2 linked regions of the Schizosaccharomyces pombe genome follow. The gene in region 2 interacts genetically with the main gene of each other region. Each region holds a gene or a part of one and is shown on either strand. Other genes may lie near its edges.

Region 1 (8,724 bases), 3.5 Mb from region 2:
TTTTCTTTATTTCCTTCTCATTTTTTAGATAAAAAAATTTTCTGTTGCATTACATGAAATATAAATGCTTATGATGATTATTCGACTTTAATACATTTATCAAAGGCCTTTACCCACAAATCTTTTGTAAGTAACCGTTTCGATTAACCTCTTGGAACAGATATCTATTGTTTGTTTACTGAATTTACAACCTTCACTTGTTATTGCTCAAACCATCACAATTGATCATTTCTGATTATTTTCTTACATAAATTAATGCTCATTTTCTCTTTGATTTTTCTTAAGTGCTAATCCTTTAACTTATTAACCGCGGTAACTCATAAAGCTGATCTACTTCATGAATTCGTAAACTATTTCTTCTGAGATAATAAATACCCGTAGTTTTTTAACGAAATTTGCTCATGACTCAGTGACGAATAGTAGTTTTGAAGCTGTAAAGGATTTGAGGTCCATTGTTAGTATAATAATACACAACTTTTTACAGACGAAAGTAGCTTCAAGCAACAAATCGAATAAGGATTCAGAATTCGAATCAATTGTGTGGAAGTTTGTGCAACTAAGGGTCGTAAAAGAAGATGTAAACTCTGAATTAGCACAACATAGGACCTTAGCGTTCAGTCTGTGAAGAAGCCAAAATGATGCAAGTTAAGCAAAACAAAAAGCAGTTATGAAACTACTCAAAAATGCTCGAATGCCTTTGGTTTCCTTTTTCTCATAAAAAAATAATCGTTATATTATGATAATTCAGTATAGAAGCAACTGTCAGAAATAAAAATAAAAAATTCTGCATGTATTTTTAAGATAATGTATTAAGTGATTTGAGTTTTTATAAACTCCATTTATTTTATCTGAATTCAACCCTACTGAACTTGCAAGACGTACGTAGTCTGGGAAACACAGTGGGAAAGTACTTAAATACTTTTTGGGAAACTTGAACAGGTAGTTAAAATCAAAGTCACTCATATTGTCTATGATAATTTCAAACATCTATAAGGACTCTTGTTATAACATAGACTTCGTAAATGTGTAAAAGCCTTAGCATGAGCAGCGAGCAGCTCTAGTATAATAGTCGTTGTAAAATTCAGTGCCTAAACCTACACCTAAGAATAACTATCCAAAAGGAGCATAAAGTGTAGCATTAAAGAGAGATAAAACAAAAATACAGATTATTCTCTAAACGAAGATCTAAAGTCATTTTCGGGGTGTGTACTGAAATCGGTTTCCCAAATGACTTCATGTCTTAGTCGCTATAAAAATTAGGGTCTATTTTGGCCCCTATATCAAGCTGGAGTTTAGCATTTCTGACTTGGATTCCATGGTGTGCAGTCTCCTCTTAGGTGGAAGTCGGACCAACAACCACCAACATACCGCAACAATAGTTAGTCTCTGAAAAAAAATAGCTTCAAAAGCTATAGGCTTAGTTATTTGAGGTCTTACATATTATTAATTTCACTCTTTTAAAAACTGAAGGAATTGAGTCCCATAAGGTTTTCTTGGGGGTGATTTTCGAACGGAAATATCCCAAAGAGGATTAACTAGTCATACTGGTTTATTAAGTGATAAAGGCGTTTAATATAGAAGCTAAGGTTCGTTCAAACAGCAAGGACAGTATGTCCCAAAGGGACGCCAAAAAAGATGGGTTGCTGTACACAACGAATGGTGTATCACCAACACCACCGAAACGAATTCCTGTTCCTTCCCGTCAAAATAAGATAGAAGAGAATTCTACAACGAAGAATTTCCCCCATTCTCGACATACAAGCACTGTTGCTGGTACTGAGGGTGGCAGCTCACTTTCTCGGAGGCATACCTCTGCTGAGTCTCGAAAAGCGTTGCCTAATCAGCAACAATTAGCCCAATCTGGTTTGCTTAATAAAGAGGAGCAGCAAAGTCTAAAGCGATCAGATACTTCTGTATTTCCTAAGGCTGTAAGGAAAGTTTCTTCATCAAAGATATGTGCTTCATGTGGACAAGTTATATCCGGACAATATGTACGTGCTCTTGGAAATATATATCACTTAGAATGTTTTCGATGCCATGATTGTAATTCTTTAGTTGCTTCAAAATTTTTTCCTATTGATGATCCCACTCTTAACAAGCAAGTGCCTTTATGTGAAACAGATTATTTTCGGCGGCTTGACTTACTTTGTGCAAGTTGTGGAATGGCCCTTCGAGGTTATTATATTACAGCTTTGAATAAAAAATTTCATATAGAACATTTCACTTGTTCCTTATGTTACACTGTTTTTGGTCCGAATGATTCTTACTATGAATATGAGGGCAAAGTGTATTGTCATTATCATTATTCAACACTTTTCGCTGCACGATGTTGCGGTTGTGATGGTCCAATTTTAAGGCAATTTGTTGAAGTTTACAGAAATGGGGTATCTCAAAATTGGCACGTTCCTTGTCATATGATCTACAAGTTTTGGAATGTTAAACTTTGTCAAAAGACATCCATAGAAACTTCTAAAAAGAAGGATTCTGAGCTTTCTCAATCACAATTACGCAAACGGGAAAAACATTTAGAACAGAAAATATTTCATATTTGGCATGCACTCTCTTATTTTGAGGAGTATACAGCTTCGTGTATCAGTGATATGCTTCTCCTTGTTTCAAATGGAGAATTCACAAAAAGTGTTATTTGTGCCCAAAAATTTATTCGTTATATCGAGATACTTTTTAAAGGCATTGATTCGCTAGAAACTATACTTTCAAGTTTTCATGCTAAAAGTATGCCTTATGTTCGTGAAGCTAAGTTGCTTTGCAAGAAGCTAGTTTCAATATTTGCTTTACTTGCTAAATGCCATAATTCGGATATTCGCGACGTTGCTATTGTTCAAGACTTTTTATCACTCTTTACCGGTTTAGCTCATTACCTCAAGTTACTTATTCGGATATCGCTTACGGGAGGTTTACGACTAGAACAAGATCATGCTTGTAAGCATGCTCTTCCCCAGTTTTTACAGACCGTAGAAGAAGCTCGATTTGTCGATCAAGAAGGATATGATAGTTCTTCGTTTGATATGCCTTTAAATTTGGCCAATGCCAGCTCCGATTTATGCTATGTGTGTCATTCTGCCTTGGAGGAAGACTGTGTTCTCCTGGGTGAAATTCGCTGCCATATTGGCTGTTTGTCATGTACTAAATGTAAATACAACAATCGGGAGAATTACGATTGGGCGCGCTGGAACAACCAAACGAAACAAATAGAATGTTATTTATGTTATACTGAATCATCCAACGTTAGTAACGACGAACCTCATCCGTCTTTTGAGTATGTGAGCAGGCTTTCTCAATATATTTACTTGCTACGTATTGCCTTGGTTCGATTATATACTATACTTATGGAGAATAACGACTCATCACAGCGAAAGCCGTTATCTGTTGATCCAAAACAAGAGAATGTATCCAGTACTGTTGAAACAGCGAAACAAGCCGAGACTACTGCCAGTTCAGACAGTTTTCGTAAGTATGCCAATACTCTTAATGATTTGCGACATCTTAAGTCTTCCCGCAATCGTAAGGCCACCTCAAATGAAACCCAGTCCTCAAGCAATTCTACCGAAACATCTAAATTATCAAAGAATGTGTCAGAGTCTGGAAAAGACAAAAGTCCCCATTGGCATTCTCATGGTGGTTCTATTACTGGAAAAAGCATAGTTGAGCAAGCATCTAGTCCTTTGGAAAGAAGGATGGATGCCTTTGATGAAAATCGTGCTTTTACTCTTGATGATATTCCTAAAGTCATTTCAGAACAAAGAAACAGGGAACACCGACCAAATGCATTTAGGCATATGCCCAGTTATACTGATCCTTCCTATCGAAAGAATTCTGGGGCGATTTATGATAAAAATGATGGTACGCAAAAGGGTTTGACTCCTAAATCAGAAGATGCTCCTATTCGTTATCTCTCAGATCTTTCTAATTTAGAATTATTATTTACCAAGCACGTAGCTGTATTAATATTGCACCCTCTTGTACGGGATTATTATTCACTTGATGAATTGATGGAAATGAGCGATTTGCGCAAAGGTGGTTTCTGGGAAAAATTTGGAAAGGCTTTCAAGGGGAAAGATGCCGAAAAAAAGAACGTGAAAAAGAAAGGTACCTTTGGGGTGCCATTGGAGATTCTTGTTGAGCGTAATAACGCTCAGTCGACGGTTGGAACAGGCGTGGGTGTCAAGCATATTCCTGCCTTTATTGGGAATACATTGGCTGCTATGAAAAGAAAAGATATGTCAGTAGTTGGTGTATTTAGAAAGAACGGAAATATACGTAGGTTAAAAGAGCTATCTGACATGCTCGATGTTTCTCCGGATTCAATTGATTATGAGCAAGAAACACCCATTCAGTTGGCTGCTTTATTGAAAAAATTCCTTAGAGAGCTTCCTGATCCTCTTTTAACTTTCAAGTTATTTGGGTTGTTCATTACGTCTTCAAAGTTGGAGTCTGAGGAAGAACGCATGAGGGTTTTGCATCTTACAATATGTTTACTACCCAAGGGACATAGAGACACTATGGAGGTAATTTTTGGCTTTCTATATTGGGTTGCCTCTTTTTCCCACATCGATGATGAGGTGGGAAGCAAAATGGATATTCATAATCTTGCTACCGTAATTACTCCGAACATATTATATTCCAAAAGCAACGATCCTGTTGACGAAAGTTTCCTTGCCATCGAGGCTGTTCATCTGTTGATTGAGAACTTTGAGAAATTTTGTGAAGTCCCTCGAGAAATTAGTCTTTTATTAGATGATCCTACTCTTTTTTATAATAATGCGGCTTGGACATCTAAAGAACTATATAAAAGGTGTGAAGAAATAATTTCTCAGATGAGTCTTGACGAACGGAATACTCCAAAACATACGGCGTCTACAAAGAGGAAAAGGCAACCTATAAGAAGAGTTACAACTAATTTAACGTCAGACGTGCCTTCTGGTTCTGAAGTTGCTGACACAAATTCGCTTTCATCTACCACTAAAGATGAAGCTTCACCTAACAGCGATGCTCAGCCTAAACCTCAAGTTAAACCTCAGCATGCAGTCATTAGGGATTCCTAATTTATCGATACACAATCCCATTTGTCTTTTTTTGTTTTATCATATTTTCAATTTTTACTGAACATTAGATCAGCTACGAAAGTAGAAAGCTCGGTCTGGTACCGCTTACAACTTTGTCGTGTTGAATTCGATGGGATGATGGTACTTTAATAATCGTTCTTTTAATAAAAGGTTACTTGGCTAAAATAATATTTCAGGCAAATATAACTTTCGTTTAATATTTGAAGTCATGAATAACAATCCTTCTCCCAGAATTGTTTTAATAAAATCCTTTACTATATGTTGATTTTTCCGCGTAATAATGTAACATAAAATCATTTTGTTCAATTTATGCTTCTTTTTTGTTACGCAAATCAGTAGAAAGTTTACTTGAAATGTGTAGCAAGCGACCAAGAGTCCATAAGTAAATAGTAAAAAATCCGGCAAATGAAAGCGTAACATTAAGAATGACCCATAAATCGGGGTAACGGGATGGTGGTGGGATAAACAGATCAATTCCCAAAATAACAATCATACCAACATAAAAAGACTGCATCCAGTTAATACACCTGGCATAAAAAAATAGCAAATAATAAAAATAGTCTTACCAGTTGGATGAACCGAAAAAGGACGTTTTTTGAGAAAACTACCATGTCACCAATCCAATTCCACATTAATACTAATGTGAAGTATTGTAAACCAAGACCATCTTTTTTCAGTAACGGCCATAAGCTAATAAAAATATTAGTATAATTTAAACAGTAAATATGTATATTTTACCTGAAAACAGCAAGATTGTTTGCTAGAGCAATCCATGGTTTGGTTGTAATGTTTCCGTGACATAAGAGAATAGAAGTGGGAAGTAAAGGAAGAAGAACCGACTTTTCATGAACTTGGAAAGAGAACAAAAAAAACCCCCATGATGCACTTGCGAAACCCAGAGCTAAAAGACGTTTACGAGGATAAAGAAATAATATAACACAAGATGGGAGAATAGAAATGAGAGTAAAAATCAAGCTAATTACTTGGAGTTGATGTAAAGTAAACACCTCTCTAATTTTGAAAACAGTGTTGAGGGTGCACCAGAAATTAGCAACTTTATCTTCCCAAAGACCACGAGCAAACGGGAACACTCGATGAAGAATTTGAGGAAGCAATGTTTTATAGTCCATGTAAATCCATGGAAATAATATTAAGGAAAACGTAAAAACAACTGTGACTGACAACAAGATAAATCTTGAGAAACGAATCTTTGGCTTTACACAAGTTCCCAATAAGTAAAAAAAAATAGGAGGAGCAAAATATAGAGCCATCTGTTTAAACGTAAGAGCTAAACAGAAAAAAAACGTAGCAGCTACATATTGGTTTTTAAGCAAATTAGCGATTGCATACATAACTAAACCCAGCATAACACAGTTGTACTGAAAATGACCATGATCAATTAAGAGTAAAGCAGGTTGAAAAAGGACCATAATTAGGCTAGCATTTCTGTCCACAAAATTAGGTATACGGCGCGACCACCATTTGGAGTAAAACATTAAAGGGGGAACGAGTATTAGAAGATGAGATGCAATAACAGTAGATCTCATGAATAATTTTAATTCAAGACTTTCAAATCCACGAGATGTGACATCAGCAAACCATTCGGGGTTGAAAAAATAATGCCCAATTATACCAAAGAACCAAGAAACATATGCTGTTAAAGGAGGATAATCTAATCCCCACCATTGCAAATCTCTAAAATACCATTGAGACACAGGAGTATGCAATGTTAGTTCCATCCAATGTCTTTGCGCTTCAAAATCGCCATACATAGGAGGTGTATTATACCCAGAATAAGGACCGATAGATATAAGCCATTGCATGAAAACTAAACTCATTATAAGGCATGGAAAAAATAAAAATTTAGATGAATAGGATCGAAAACGAGAAACGAATTGTTGAACGGGAGCCCCATTCTCAAACTCAGATAGCATGTTTTAAGCGGCCGTCAAACGGTAAGGATTTCGCTTTAAAACTTTGGGTTTCTAAATTAAAATATCCAACTTGGAAAGCTTAAAGATTAAAAAACGAGTGAATTTGTATCCGGAATGTTTTAAACAAGGAAAAGCTAATTCAAAGCAGATACAAGTTGGGATAACAGTGAAATGGGTTGGGAACCACGAAGTGGACTATGGGTCCACCATTGCGATCATCGTGAAATATGGTTTTATAATGTCCAAAAAAATCAATTCACTTTTTAATTCATTCTTTCTTTCTTATTTTTTATTTTCAGTTTCAAAGCCTAAAAATTAAATACGCGCAAAGTTATCACTACATAATTGATCCAAGGGTGAGCAATAACATAAAAAATGAGTTGATAAACATGAAAATTAAGCTGTATCACTTATTGACTGATTTACTTTTCTCTTAAGATAGGTAAATGTTAGAATAAATTGAGCTTGGCAAGTTAGGAGTTTGTTTCAGTGATACTAGCCCATTAAATTCAATGAACTGAAATATATTACTTAATTGTTTGCTGTTTAATAATTTAGCTCTAACGAAAATCTTATTAGCAAAGAACATGCTAAGAAAAATAATTCCCTTAATACATTTACTATGTAATTGATCTCGAATTTGTAGCTGCAATTAAGAGCTTTGAAATTTTAAAAGTCTTTTCGTTCATGATAATTTCTAAAGAAAACCCTTGTTGGGCTAAAAAAAAAAGCGACGGTTTGACGAAAAATCATGCTTTTAAAACCAGAATTCATAATAATATTGTAAAATTATTTCTTGGTCTGTTACAGTTTTAAGTAAAAGCAAGCATTATCCTAATATTTTCTTTTTGCGTTGATGGAACACTGTGAAATCTCCATTATTTGTATAATTTTAAGCGATATTTACTAATCATATGTTTAGTTTAATTTTTTGTAAAACGATTTGAAATAGAAACTGAAGTTGTATAGTTACTAACATTATTTGCATTCTCGCATTGTTTGTATATTGTTTACTCTTCAGAATAATTTCAATATTTATGCTTAAGCTAAATGAAATATTTTCAAGGACTCACAAATAGTTATTTATATATTTTATGAAAATTTAAAACCTAATTAGATTAAATTTAATTAAAATACCCAAAAGTACATTCGTTTGAGAAGAGATACCAGATTGAATGAATAAAAACATACTAACTGCTTGGCGGGCAAATGAAATTCATTTGTACACTACAGTGGTTGATGCTGTTTTTAAAATCTAAACTTTTATAGCAATAAAGAATCATCCTCCCTTGAGTATTAAAGTGAAAGCAAAAAAGCCTTACTAGGCAAGAGCTTAGAACCGATAAACAACTATTCATTTAAAGGAAAAAAACAAAGATTCGGAAAGCATTTTGCGTTCTCTATTTTTTTAAAAAAAATTAAAAATATCTCAAAAGCGCAAAAGTGTGAATTCCTGTTTTAATTTTCAAACCGTAAACAAAATGTTTTAAATTTTAATTTAATACTGAAACTACTTTTATTAACTTAACGATTTTTAAGATTAGTTCCCTACTCCGCTGTTATGCAGATTAACGCAATGATAGGAGCTTATCACATGAATTGAAAGATAATAACAGCTTTATTAAAAACTTAACCGTACCCTCTCATTTTTCATCGCGTTTGCTGTTATTGCAATACTTATACATTTTTTGGAGGGAAGTTTTATT
Region 2 (11,389 bases):
ATCAAGAAAACTTTTATTTTCATTATGTGGACATATGGACTACGTTCGTGTTTGTACCTTCCATCATGAATATCCATGGATTTTGTCTTGTTCCGATGATCAGACGATTCGTATTTGGAATTGGCAATCCCGCAACTGTATCGCTATATTAACTGGCCATTCTCACTATGTTATGTGTGCTGCCTTTCATCCTTCTGAGGATCTGATTGTTAGTGCCAGTTTGGATCAAACAGTTCGCGTTTGGGACATTAGCGGTCTTCGCATGAAGAATGCAGCTCCGGTTAGTATGTCGCTTGAAGATCAGCTAGCTCAGGCCCACAACTCGATTTCTAATGACTTATTTGGTAGCACAGATGCTATCGTAAAATTTGTTTTAGAAGGTCATGATCGAGGCGTGAACTGGTGCGCTTTCCATCCAACTCTTCCTTTAATCCTCTCTGCTGGCGATGATCGACTTGTAAAATTATGGCGTATGACTGCTTCTAAAGCTTGGGAGGTTGATACGTGTCGTGGCCATTTTAATAATGTTTCTTGCTGCTTGTTCCACCCACATCAAGAGCTCATATTGTCAGCCAGTGAAGACAAAACTATTCGTGTTTGGGATTTGAATAGAAGAACCGCCGTTCAAACTTTCCGTCGCGATAACGACCGTTTTTGGTTTATTACTGTTCATCCCAAATTGAATTTATTTGCAGCTGCTCATGATAGTGGTGTTATGGTTTTCAAGCTGGAACGTGAGCGCCCTGCACATGCGCTTAATATCAATACTCTTCTTTATGTCAATAAGGAGAAGTCAATTGTTTCTTATGATCTTTTACGCGCACAAAGTACTACTGTCGCTTCTGTTAAGCACTTGGGAAGCGCATGGCTACCTCCTCGTTCTTTGTCTTACAACCCCGCTGAGAAAGTTGCTCTTCTTACTTCTTCTGCTGATAATGGCGTTTATGAACTTGTTAATGTATCATCACGGTCTAATTCCTTGCCTTTGAAGGATAACATTAAGGGTCCCGGAGATGATGCGATTTTTGTAGCACGTAATCGTTTTGCTGTCTTTTCTCGAAGCGACCAAACCATCGAGATTAAGGATCTTTCGAATAAAGTTACAAAGACCATTCAGCTTCCTGAGAAAACAAGAGACATTTTCTTTGCTGGAATGGGTCATGTGCTCTTATCTACCGCTACCCAAGTTCATTTGTTTGATCTTCAACAAAAGAAAATTGTTTCATCTTTTAATGCCAACCGCGTAAAGTATGTTGTATGGTCAAATGATAATTCGCAGGCTGCTCTATTAGGAAAGCATTACGTGTACATTGTGAAGAAAAACTTGGAATTAATTACCTCTATTCATGAAACCATTCGCATTAAAAGTGCTGTTTGGGTAGAGAATAACGTTTTACTTTATGCTACTTTAGACCATCTTAAATATGCATTAATGTCTGGTGATACAGGTGTCATAAAAACTCTGGAATCTACTTTGTATTTGGTCAAAGCAAAAGGAAATATGGTTTTTGCTCTCAATCGTGCTGCTGAACCCGTTAGTTTTGAAATAGATCCCACTGAATATTTGTTCAAATTAGCCTTGTTAAGAAAGGATTACGAACAAGTTCTTCATTTAATTCAAAATTCTAACCTCGTTGGTCAGGCTATTATAGCTTATCTTCAGAAGAAGGGTTATCCTGAAATCGCTTTACAATTCGTTGAGGATCCATCCACCCGATTTGAATTGGCATTAGAGTGCGGAAACTTGGAAACTGCTTTAGAGCTTGCCCGTACGATTGACCGACCTGAGGTTTGGTCTCGTTTAGCTTCCGACGCTATGTCTTATGGCAACCACAAAATTGCAGAAATTACCTTTCAGAAACTCCGTTATTTTGAAAAACTTTCTTTCCTTTATTTGATTACTGGCAATGCTGAGAAGCTTCAAAAAATGGCAATAATTGCCGAAAAAAGGAATGATACCCTAAGTCTGTTTCAAAACAGTCTCTATTTAAATGAAGTGGAATCTCGTATAAATATCTTAGAGCAGGCTGGAATGTATCCTATCGCTTATCTTACCGCAAAATCTAACGGTCTTGAAGAGAAAGCCCAGCAAATACTATCACATTGCAATAAGACTGAAGAGGAAATTAAATTGCCATCTCTCGGTTCAGCATTCACGACTCCTGTACCCGTTAACGAAACATACACCCATAATTGGCCTTTGCTCGACACCTCTCATTCTACCTTCGAAAAATCACTACAAGAGAGGATGGAGCAACTTGCAATTGAAAGACAAGAGGAACAAGAATCTGAAGAAGAGTATGAAGAAGTTGAGCAAAGTCTTATGGATGTTGTTGATGAAATGAGTGATTTGGCAGAAAGCGTTCCAGAGGAGGAAGTTGATGGATGGGAGGTCGAAGATTTGGCTCCTGAAGAAGCTGTTAACGATGTAGTTGATGACGCATCTGCATTTGTCGGTGCGGACGAAATTTTCTTGTGGAAAAGGAATTCCCCATTGGCAGCCGATCATATTGCTGCCGGTGATTTTGAAAGTGCTATGAAGATTTTAAACAAGCAAGTTGGAGCCATCAACTTTTCTCCTTTGAAAACTCGATTTTTAGAAATATACACTGCCTCCCGCGTATATTTACCTACTATAAGCGGCTTAGATCCTTTAGTTTCTTATGTTCGTAGAAACGCTGAGACTGCGGAACGTTCACAAGCCTTGCCATTCATTACCAGGAATCTTGCATCTATTAAATCGCACGAACTTCACGAAGCGTACCGTTTGGTGAAAGCTAATAAGATTCTGGAGGCACAAATTTGCTTCCGTAGTATCATTTACTTGGCCTTAACTACCGTAGCAAATTCGGAGGAAGAAGCAGATGAAATTTCTGCTTTAATAGATGAATGCTGTAGATATATAGTGGCATTATCGTGCGAGTTGGAGCGTCGACGTTTGGGAGAAGAGGATACAAAGCGTGCACTCGAGCTTTCTTATTACTTTGCTTCTGCGGACTTGCAACCTATGCACTCCATCATCGCCCTACGGTTGGCAATTAATGCTTCACATAAGCTGAAAAATTACAAATCCGCATCGTTTTTGGGAAATAAGCTATTGCAACTTGCTGAAAGTGGTCCTGCAGCTGAAGCAGCCAACCGCGCCATTACCTTAGGTGACCGAAACCCTCATGATGCCTTTGAAATCGAATATGATCCACACGTTGAAATGCGTATTTGTCCCAAGACTTTAACTCCTGTATATTCTGGAGATGATTTTGATGTTTGTTCCGTTTGCGGTGCCGTATATCATAAAGGCTATGTCAATGAAGTTTGTACGGTATGTGATGTCGGTGGTATCGGTCAAAAAGGTACTGGTAGAAGATTCTTTGCATAAGCATCTTTGAATTCAAACATGTCTAGTATAAAAGAAGCTACCACATTTTAGCATAGCTTTTTTCACAATGATCTCTCAAACAAATACCTACTTGCATACAGCACATTCTTGACCGTTGAAATTAGACGTTGTAAAACGGGGTCTGTCTTCACTTAACAATCACTATTTACGAAAATATTGCTATCCTTCTTTTTCTCTTTTTTTTACATTTTGCTGTATATTGATGCTAAATTAGATAGTTTCGTATCTAGACGATTTAATTCTTTGTAAGTTAAAACCATTATAAATTGTATTTCTTGTTTTATCATGTATGGGGATATTTGACCATTGGTGTGTCACTTGGTAGAAACGGACCTAAATCACACAACTTACCACTACCAAAACCGTAAGAAGCGTAGCGTTAAAATACCCAATTGATATGTCTTCGGCTATATCTCGTTCACGATTTAATTCTTTTATTTTGCATACAGTTGCGACAGCGAATTTGATATGGGCGTTTAACTGGATTAACCACAATAGCGATGTTGCTATTAGAAGGTCCTATGGTTCTCATTTTCAGCATTTGTAAGCGCATACGTCTGGCCTGATACCTTACTTAATATTACTGAATATTAACACTTTATGTAGAACTGTTTTGTCACTGGCCGTTACATTGTTGAGTATGGTAGTAGGATTATTTTCTGATATTTCTGGTTCCTTGACACTTGTAAAGCTAAAAAATATCCTTCTTTATATTGTTTGTCCACTGGAAACTATTGTTTCAATTTTGTATTGGTCTATAGTTTCTTATGATAGGTCTCTTTTAATCCCTAAAGATCGCCCTGTGCCTCTTCCTCTGAATTTTGATATTAGCGTACATTTAATGCCTACCGTTTATACACTTATCGATTACCTTTTTTTCTCACCGCCTTTTAGTTTGTCTATTGGTCCTTCTCTTCTTGTCTATCTGTCAATCGCAGTAAGTTACATGTTGTGGGTTGAGAAATGCTATCAAATGAACAAATTTTACGCTTATCCCATTCTTGCTATTTTGGATCCTATAAAGAAGACAATCTTTTATACTGTTGCGAGCATCATCTCGTTTTCTTGTTACATTGTTTTAAAGATGGTTCATCCGTACGCATTACCTTCTGGTGCACCTCCAAGATCCTAAATTAAGCAACATGGAAAGCAGTTATCGTAGGAAAGGAACAAAACTTCTTTGCTCTCTGAATTTACAAGGTCTTGCATTGACTGTTGTTTTTGATCGCCCCCATCTTTTGATATTCAGAGTGTGGACATCTGATGTCTGCTCCAACAGACGCGAAATTCATTTTCTTGGAATTTGGTCTTTTTTGATTTGAATTATTTAATAGTTTATTGCTCCATGAATGCAATATTGCACGTTTTCAGTTAAAAAGAGGTGTGCAACACTAACACGAACAAGTTGCTTTTCATTTTTATGACAAAATGACTACAGGGACTTTTTTTTCCCCATTTATTATTGATTATGTGCTAATCAATTATTTCATTATCACAACTATGGGTTACAATTAGAAACCTGTTGTAATAACAATAATTGTCTCACTGAAGTAATATAAGCTAATGATTATAAAATTTATCAATTGCATATACATTAAATAATTTAATTCATGGAACCAATTCATCTATGGTGATTATTTATCTGGTTTGCTGGATTGAAATGATTATTTTTAGCATTCTGGAATTTAGATCTTGTAAAACCTGTGTCAAGAATTTTTATTTTAACAAAATTCGTAATCAGTAATATGGAAAAGTCTTCCTACTTTCGAAGTTTGGATTTTTGTATAGCGCCTGACCAGTTACGAATACTTGCAAATTATTCCTTGGTAATTAATTAGTCATAGAACAAAATAGGAAGCCGAAGTAAGATTATAAATTAGATACAGCTTTAAATAGCTAATTATTATACCACTTGTTTACTGTTCTATCGATCAAGTAACTGTTCACGTAAATAGTCGCGTTAGTCCTCTCAACTACTTAGTTACTCCGCCAACTTCTTTTGTCGTCAAAAAAATAGCTAAACATTCCAAAAGCAAAAAGAGATAAGTATAAGATGAGATGGGGCTTTTGGTTTGCTATTGCAACTCTCATTACGATTTGCTATGCCGCCAAGCCTTTAGATGTCAAGATTGCTGCGACTTTTAACGCTCCTTCATTTTCTGCACTTATAGCTGAGTCATTGTATCAAGAGAAGAAGGAGGGATTCATTTGGTATTTAAATCACTTGAGCGATTTACTAGATGCTGAAAATACCACCGAAAAGGAGCTGTACATTAATGTTGTCAATTCACTTAAACGCGAGTATGTTCTTTCTGATGAAGAATTATCTTCCTTGCAGTTTTCTCTGGGATTGTTTTCTGGCGCACCAAAGTTACAAGCATTTTCAAGTATTGTTCAATCGCGCAGCTGTGATTGTGACACTTGGCTACAACTTGACGAAGAATCACAGGTTTGCTTTTCGGATTTGCCAAAGGACTCCCCATTGTTTAGCAAGCTGTACAGCAAAAATCCTCTAGATTACGAAGTTGTAAAAACCTCGGCTACTGGCATTCCGTACGCAGTGGTTGTAACTAGCTTCGAACGAGATCTTATTCCTTTTCACGAACTATATTACAAGCTGGCATTGGAAGGAAAGTGCAATTATGTTATAAGATATTCTCCTCCTTCTTCCTCGAAACTTAACTCCAAACTTTACGTTAAGGGCTTTGGTACCCATGTGTCATTGAAGCGCACAGATTACTTAGTTGTAGATGATCGCGAGTTTCCAAGGGAAAAGGGAGATAACCCAGCAAGTTTTACATCATCCCGCAACAAAAGATCAAATGAGAGACTATTTGGAATGACCTCCGACAGCCTACAAACTGTAACGCCTGATAAAATTGCAATACTTGATTTATTAGCTACACAAAGTATTGCTAGCAGTACTGACATGTTGACTGCTTTTCGAGAGCTTACACAAGATTTTCCTATTTATGCGCATTACCTTTCTATACAACCGGATGTTTCTAATGATTTAATCGAGGAACTGAACCAATTTCAATCGCAATATGTTCCTGAAGGCATTAATACGATTTGGTTGAATGGTTTATCTCTTGATTTAGAGGAAACGGATGCTTTTTCTATTCTCTCTTTAATTAAGAAAGAAAAAGATATGTTTGATAGATTTGAAGCTCTAGGGATTAAATCTTCGAAGGTCTTAGATATAGTCACTAATGAGGCTTTTGCTAACGAGGACTCAGATTTCAAGTTTGTTAAGTTTCATTGTCAAGACGATATAGAGGACTGGAAAGCCATACATTGGGTGAACGAAATAGAAAGCAACCCTAAGTATGACAATTGGCCCAAGAGTATACAAATTTTATTAAAACCTATCTATCCAGGACAGCTTCATATGCTCGGAAAACAACTGCATACTGTCATTTATCCTATTTTTCCTTCTTCTCCTTCATCGTTACCTCTTCTTTCCGAGCTTATTCAGTTTTCACGGCGCCCTTCGCCCGTTCAGACTGGTATGGTATGTGCTGCTAACGATGACGATGAATTTGCTCAAACTGTTTGCAAATCCTTTTTCTACATTTCGAAGGAGAGCGGAACTGACAGCGCTCTCAAATTTTTATATAAATGTTTGAACAGCGATTCTAGTGCTGATTTGTACTCCTTGCTTGAAGAGCATCTTCCATTAAGCGAGCATGATGATGATACTCTAGCTAATCTTAAAAAAGATCTTTCCTCATCTTTTTTTGACCACTATATGTCTAAGAGCAATAGCTGGGTTAATCGTTTAGGAATAGATTCTTCTGCATCAGAGGTCATAGTCAACGGCCGAATTATTTCTCATGATGAAAATTACGATAGGAGTATGTATGGGATATTTTTAGAAGATATCCCTGAAGTTCAAATTGCAGTTGCAGAAGGGAAGATTTCTGAAGATGATAATCTGTTAGATTTTATTTTGCGAGATGCTTCGTTAACGCGGAATCCTTTAGTTTACCCTTCCGCAAAATCTAGTATCAAGAGTATTGATATTAAACGGGTTTTGGAGAACGTTGGTAGTTTGAACCACGAAGATATTTTACTTATCGGCAGTTCTAATGCTAAATATTCATTCTGGCTAGTTGCTGATTTTAATGAAAAGGAAGGGCTTGAAATACTTTCATTACTTGCCGACCTTCTTTCGGAGAATAAAGATGCAAATCTTATGTTGATTCAGGAAGGAAAAAATCATGTTGTACCCCCTCTGTTTGCTAAACTGTTATCATCACCAAAGAGATCTAGTAAGCATTTACAAGAAATATTAAATTCCAGCCTCGATCCCAGTTCTGGCGTCGTTAACGATATGGATAAAGCATTGAAATTTCTAAAAAAATCGAAAGCCGTTGTTAAAGAGTTGGGTCTTACCGGTGAATGTAAATCTGCTTTGTTATTAAACGGACGGATGATTTGTTCTTTCTCAGTTGATAGTTTGAACACCGCTGACTTAAAAATGTTAATGCAAATGGAATACGATAATTATCTGTCAAAACTGTCAAACATTGCTGGAAGCTCAAGAAGGTTAAAAAACAGCCGTGCTATTTCATTCCTTAGCTCATATTTAAAAACGCTTGAATCTACACCCATGAGTACTTCTTCACCTACTAAGGAAGAAAAATTATTTCCTCGTGATTTTATCTACAATAAACTTGGTGTTGGAAATGCTACATTTGAAACTGACGATTTTTCAAAAGCTTATTATCAGTTTGTTGCAGTTTTAGATCCTCTTTCAAAAGATTCTCAAAAATGGTCAGCTATTCTTGAAGCAGTCTCAAAGTTGAACGGCGTAGGAGTTCGAATTCATTTCAATCCTAAACAAACTTTGTCTGAGCTTCCATTAACAAGGTTTTATCGATATTCAATTTCTGCGGAGCCAGAGTTTGATGCGCTTGGCCATTTAGAGGAGTCTTACGTAGAATTTGACAACTTACCGGCTGATACACTGCTTACAATGGACATTGAAGCTAGAGACGCATGGACAGTTATGCAAAAAGATGTGGACATTGATCTTTTCAACATAAAATTAGAGCACACTTCTGAAGCAGAGGCTTTGGACTCACATACAGCAATCTATGAACTTAAAAACATTTTGGTACAAGGTTACTCTCAAGAAGAATTCAGGAAAAGCCCACCGAGGGGTATGCAATTAAAGCTAGGCAACCTTACTAATTCCCATGTGACTGATACAATTGTATTATCAAATTTAGGATATTTTCAATTGAAGGCGAACCCAGGCGTATGGACTTTGGAACCTATGGATGGGCGGTCTTCTCAGTTTTATGAAATACTGTCGCTAAATAAGAAAAATTCCTATAAAGACCCTCAAGTAATTGTTGACAGTTTTGAAGGTGTCACCTTAAATCCGGTTATGCGACGTAAACCTGGTTTTGAGTCTGCCGACATTATGGATGAAGACCTTAGCTCCCATAAATTTTTCGATAAAATAAAAAAGTCTCTCAGCTTCTTTAATTTCAAACGTAAAGAAGCATCTATAAATATTTTTTCTGTTGCCAGCGGACACTTGTATGAAAGATTCTTATACATCATGACTAAGAGTGTAATTGAGCATACGGATAAAAAAGTCAAGTTCTGGTTTATTGAGAACTTTTTGTCCCCTTCTTTTAAAAGCTCTATTCCGGCCATTGCCAAAAAGTATAATTTCGAGTATGAGTATATTACTTACAATTGGCCACACTGGCTGAGAAAACAAGAAGAAAAGCAACGTGAGATATGGGGATACAAAATATTGTTCCTTGATGTTTTATTCCCTTTAGAATTGCATAAGGTTATCTATGTTGATGCCGATCAAATTGTGCGTGCTGACTTGCAGGAATTGATGGATATGGATTTACATGGTGCTCCATATGGGTATACACCCATGTGTGATTCTCGCGAAGAGATGGAAGGTTTTAGATTCTGGAAAAAAGGATACTGGAAAAAATTCTTACGTGGATTAAAATATCACATTAGTGCATTATATGTTGTAGACTTAGATCGTTTCAGGAAGATGGGTGCGGGTGATTTACTTCGCAGACAATACCAACTTTTGTCTGCCGATCCTAACTCCCTGTCTAATTTAGATCAAGATTTGCCAAATCACCTTCAACACCTTATTCCTATATACTCTCTTCCGCAAGATTGGCTTTGGTGTGAGACATGGTGCAGTGATGAAAGTTTGAAAACTGCCAAAACAATCGATTTATGTCAAAATCCTTTAACTAAAGAAAAGAAGCTGGATCGCGCACGTAGGCAAGTCTCTGAATGGACTTCATACGATAATGAGATAGCATCCGTATTGCAAACCGCCTCTAGTCAATCAGATAAAGAGTTTGAAGAAAAGGATAACAACTCATCTCCGGACGAACTTTGAAACATACTTTTCTTTTGCTTTCATATTATTTAATTCGTGATTGTACGCCTGAAATTTTATAATCGTTTTTCTAATTTACTTGCGAATTTGCATAAGTTAGAAGAGAAAAGAGTTAAAATCAAAATGTTTTAATGAATTGCTTGAATACTGAGAGTATTGGCTTTAGGGATTAAAAGGGGTCAAAATTAGTATATGTCGTCCGTTTGAAATGAGCTAGTCATGAGTTAATTTTTTCCTCCAATCTTGTTAGGACCATTTTGCTGGTGCATTCTACAAGTTGTATACAACGATTATGGTGCTAAGAAACAACTAATCGTGAGCAATGCTACGTTTATTGAATGTTTGTTGAAGACGCGTATTTTCATTTATTTAACTATTCGATACTATCTTCTACTTTGTTCAAACATTATTCGTCTATTATGCTGTAATAAATATTGCATTCAAAAGTCTTTACTAAATAGAACATTTAATATATTCGTGTTTATAATCATAGGGAGGAAGTATACAGCACAGTGAGTCGTAAGCTTAGGCATATGCCCTCCACTGAACGTAACCACTACCAAGTACCAGTATCAATATGATTGATGATCAGAGAGGTTTGTTATTGATGGGAAAGTTTTTGTATTTATTAACGTTAAAAAGATATGCAGGTTGATTCTGTAAACCAAGAAGAAAATGTTGATTCTGGTGAAACAAAACAGAACACTGTAACTGAAGTTCCAAGAACAGTTTTGCAAGGTGAGTTAATGCGTCAAAATTTATTTATTTCTAACAAGGATCAGATGTGGAAGCAAATATTGCTGCCTTAATGCAAGCCACCAAACAAAGAGATCCCAGACTTGTCTATCGATCATTAAGAACCACATCCAACATTTGCCATAGACTGAATGCGGATGTTTTAGGCCAGTTAATTAAGAAGTATTATTCTTTTGATAATTCTTTAAAAAATGAATTATTGGAACTTATTGATATGCCACAAAATGGTGATGATTCTTCCACTTCTATTACAAATGGAAATGGCAACACAATTTTTCCGGAAGTGGATATGTACTTACAACTGCTTCTTAGCATGACACTTTATTATAATGAAAAATATGAGGTAGGCGCTGAATATATTAAGAAGGTAATCGCCCGTTTGCAATCCTATGATCGACGAACCTTGGATCAAATTGCAGCCAAGTTATATTTCTATTACATACTATTCTTTGAAAAATGTAATAGGTCTGTAGAATGCAGGAACACTCTTTTGTCCGTTCATCGTACTGCATCTTTACGTCACGACTCTGAAACTCAAGCTATGGTTTTGACATTACTTCTTCGGAATTATATTCAGTTTAACCTATATGATCAAGCAGACCGTCTCGTTTCGAAAACATCCTTTCTTACGAATGCTAGTAATAACTTGGCAATTCGCTACCAATACTATTTGGGTCGAATTCGCGCCATTCAACTTGACTACACGACCGCTCATGAACATTTAGTTAGTGCTATACGTAAGGCTCCCAACACAGTATATGCCGTTCAATTTCTGGAAGCTGTTTACAAATTGCACATCGTCGTACAATTGCTTATGGGAGAAATTCCCGAACGCC

What was found. Genes that interact genetically often act in the same process or in processes that back each other up.
Region 1: mutations in gpt1 (region 2) and alg6 impair growth when combined (synthetic growth defect), as found in Schizosaccharomyces pombe (2 studies listed by BioGRID).

Annotation. Positions count from the first base shown.
Region 1 is NC_003423.3:4,194,685-4,203,408, forward strand, and holds alg6 (glucosyltransferase Alg6), read right to left. Parts: upstream 7,187-8,724; 5' UTR 7,019-7,186; coding exon 5,823-7,018; intron 5,775-5,822; coding exon 5,651-5,774; intron 5,593-5,650; coding exon 5,392-5,592; 3' UTR 5,064-5,391; downstream 1-5,063. Other genes in the region: Rho-type GTPase-activating protein Rga1, read left to right, coding at 1,611-5,063. UniProt on the Schizosaccharomyces pombe protein: Probable dolichyl pyrophosphate Man9GlcNAc2 alpha-1,3-glucosyltransferase that operates in the biosynthetic pathway of dolichol-linked oligosaccharides, the glycan precursors employed in protein asparagine (N)-glycosylation.
Region 2 is NC_003423.3:702,138-713,526, forward strand, and holds gpt1 (UDP-glucose--glycoprotein glucosyltransferase Gpt1), read left to right. Parts: upstream 1-5,376; 5' UTR 5,377-5,450; coding exon 5,451-9,797; 3' UTR 9,798-10,289; downstream 10,290-11,389. Other genes in the region: cop1 (coatomer alpha subunit protein), read left to right, coding at 1-3,376; SPOM_SPBPJ4664.05 (uncharacterized protein), read left to right, coding at 3,795-3,940, 4,004-4,529; 19S proteasome regulatory subunit Rpn3, read left to right, coding at 10,375-10,393, 10,440-10,535, 10,580-11,389.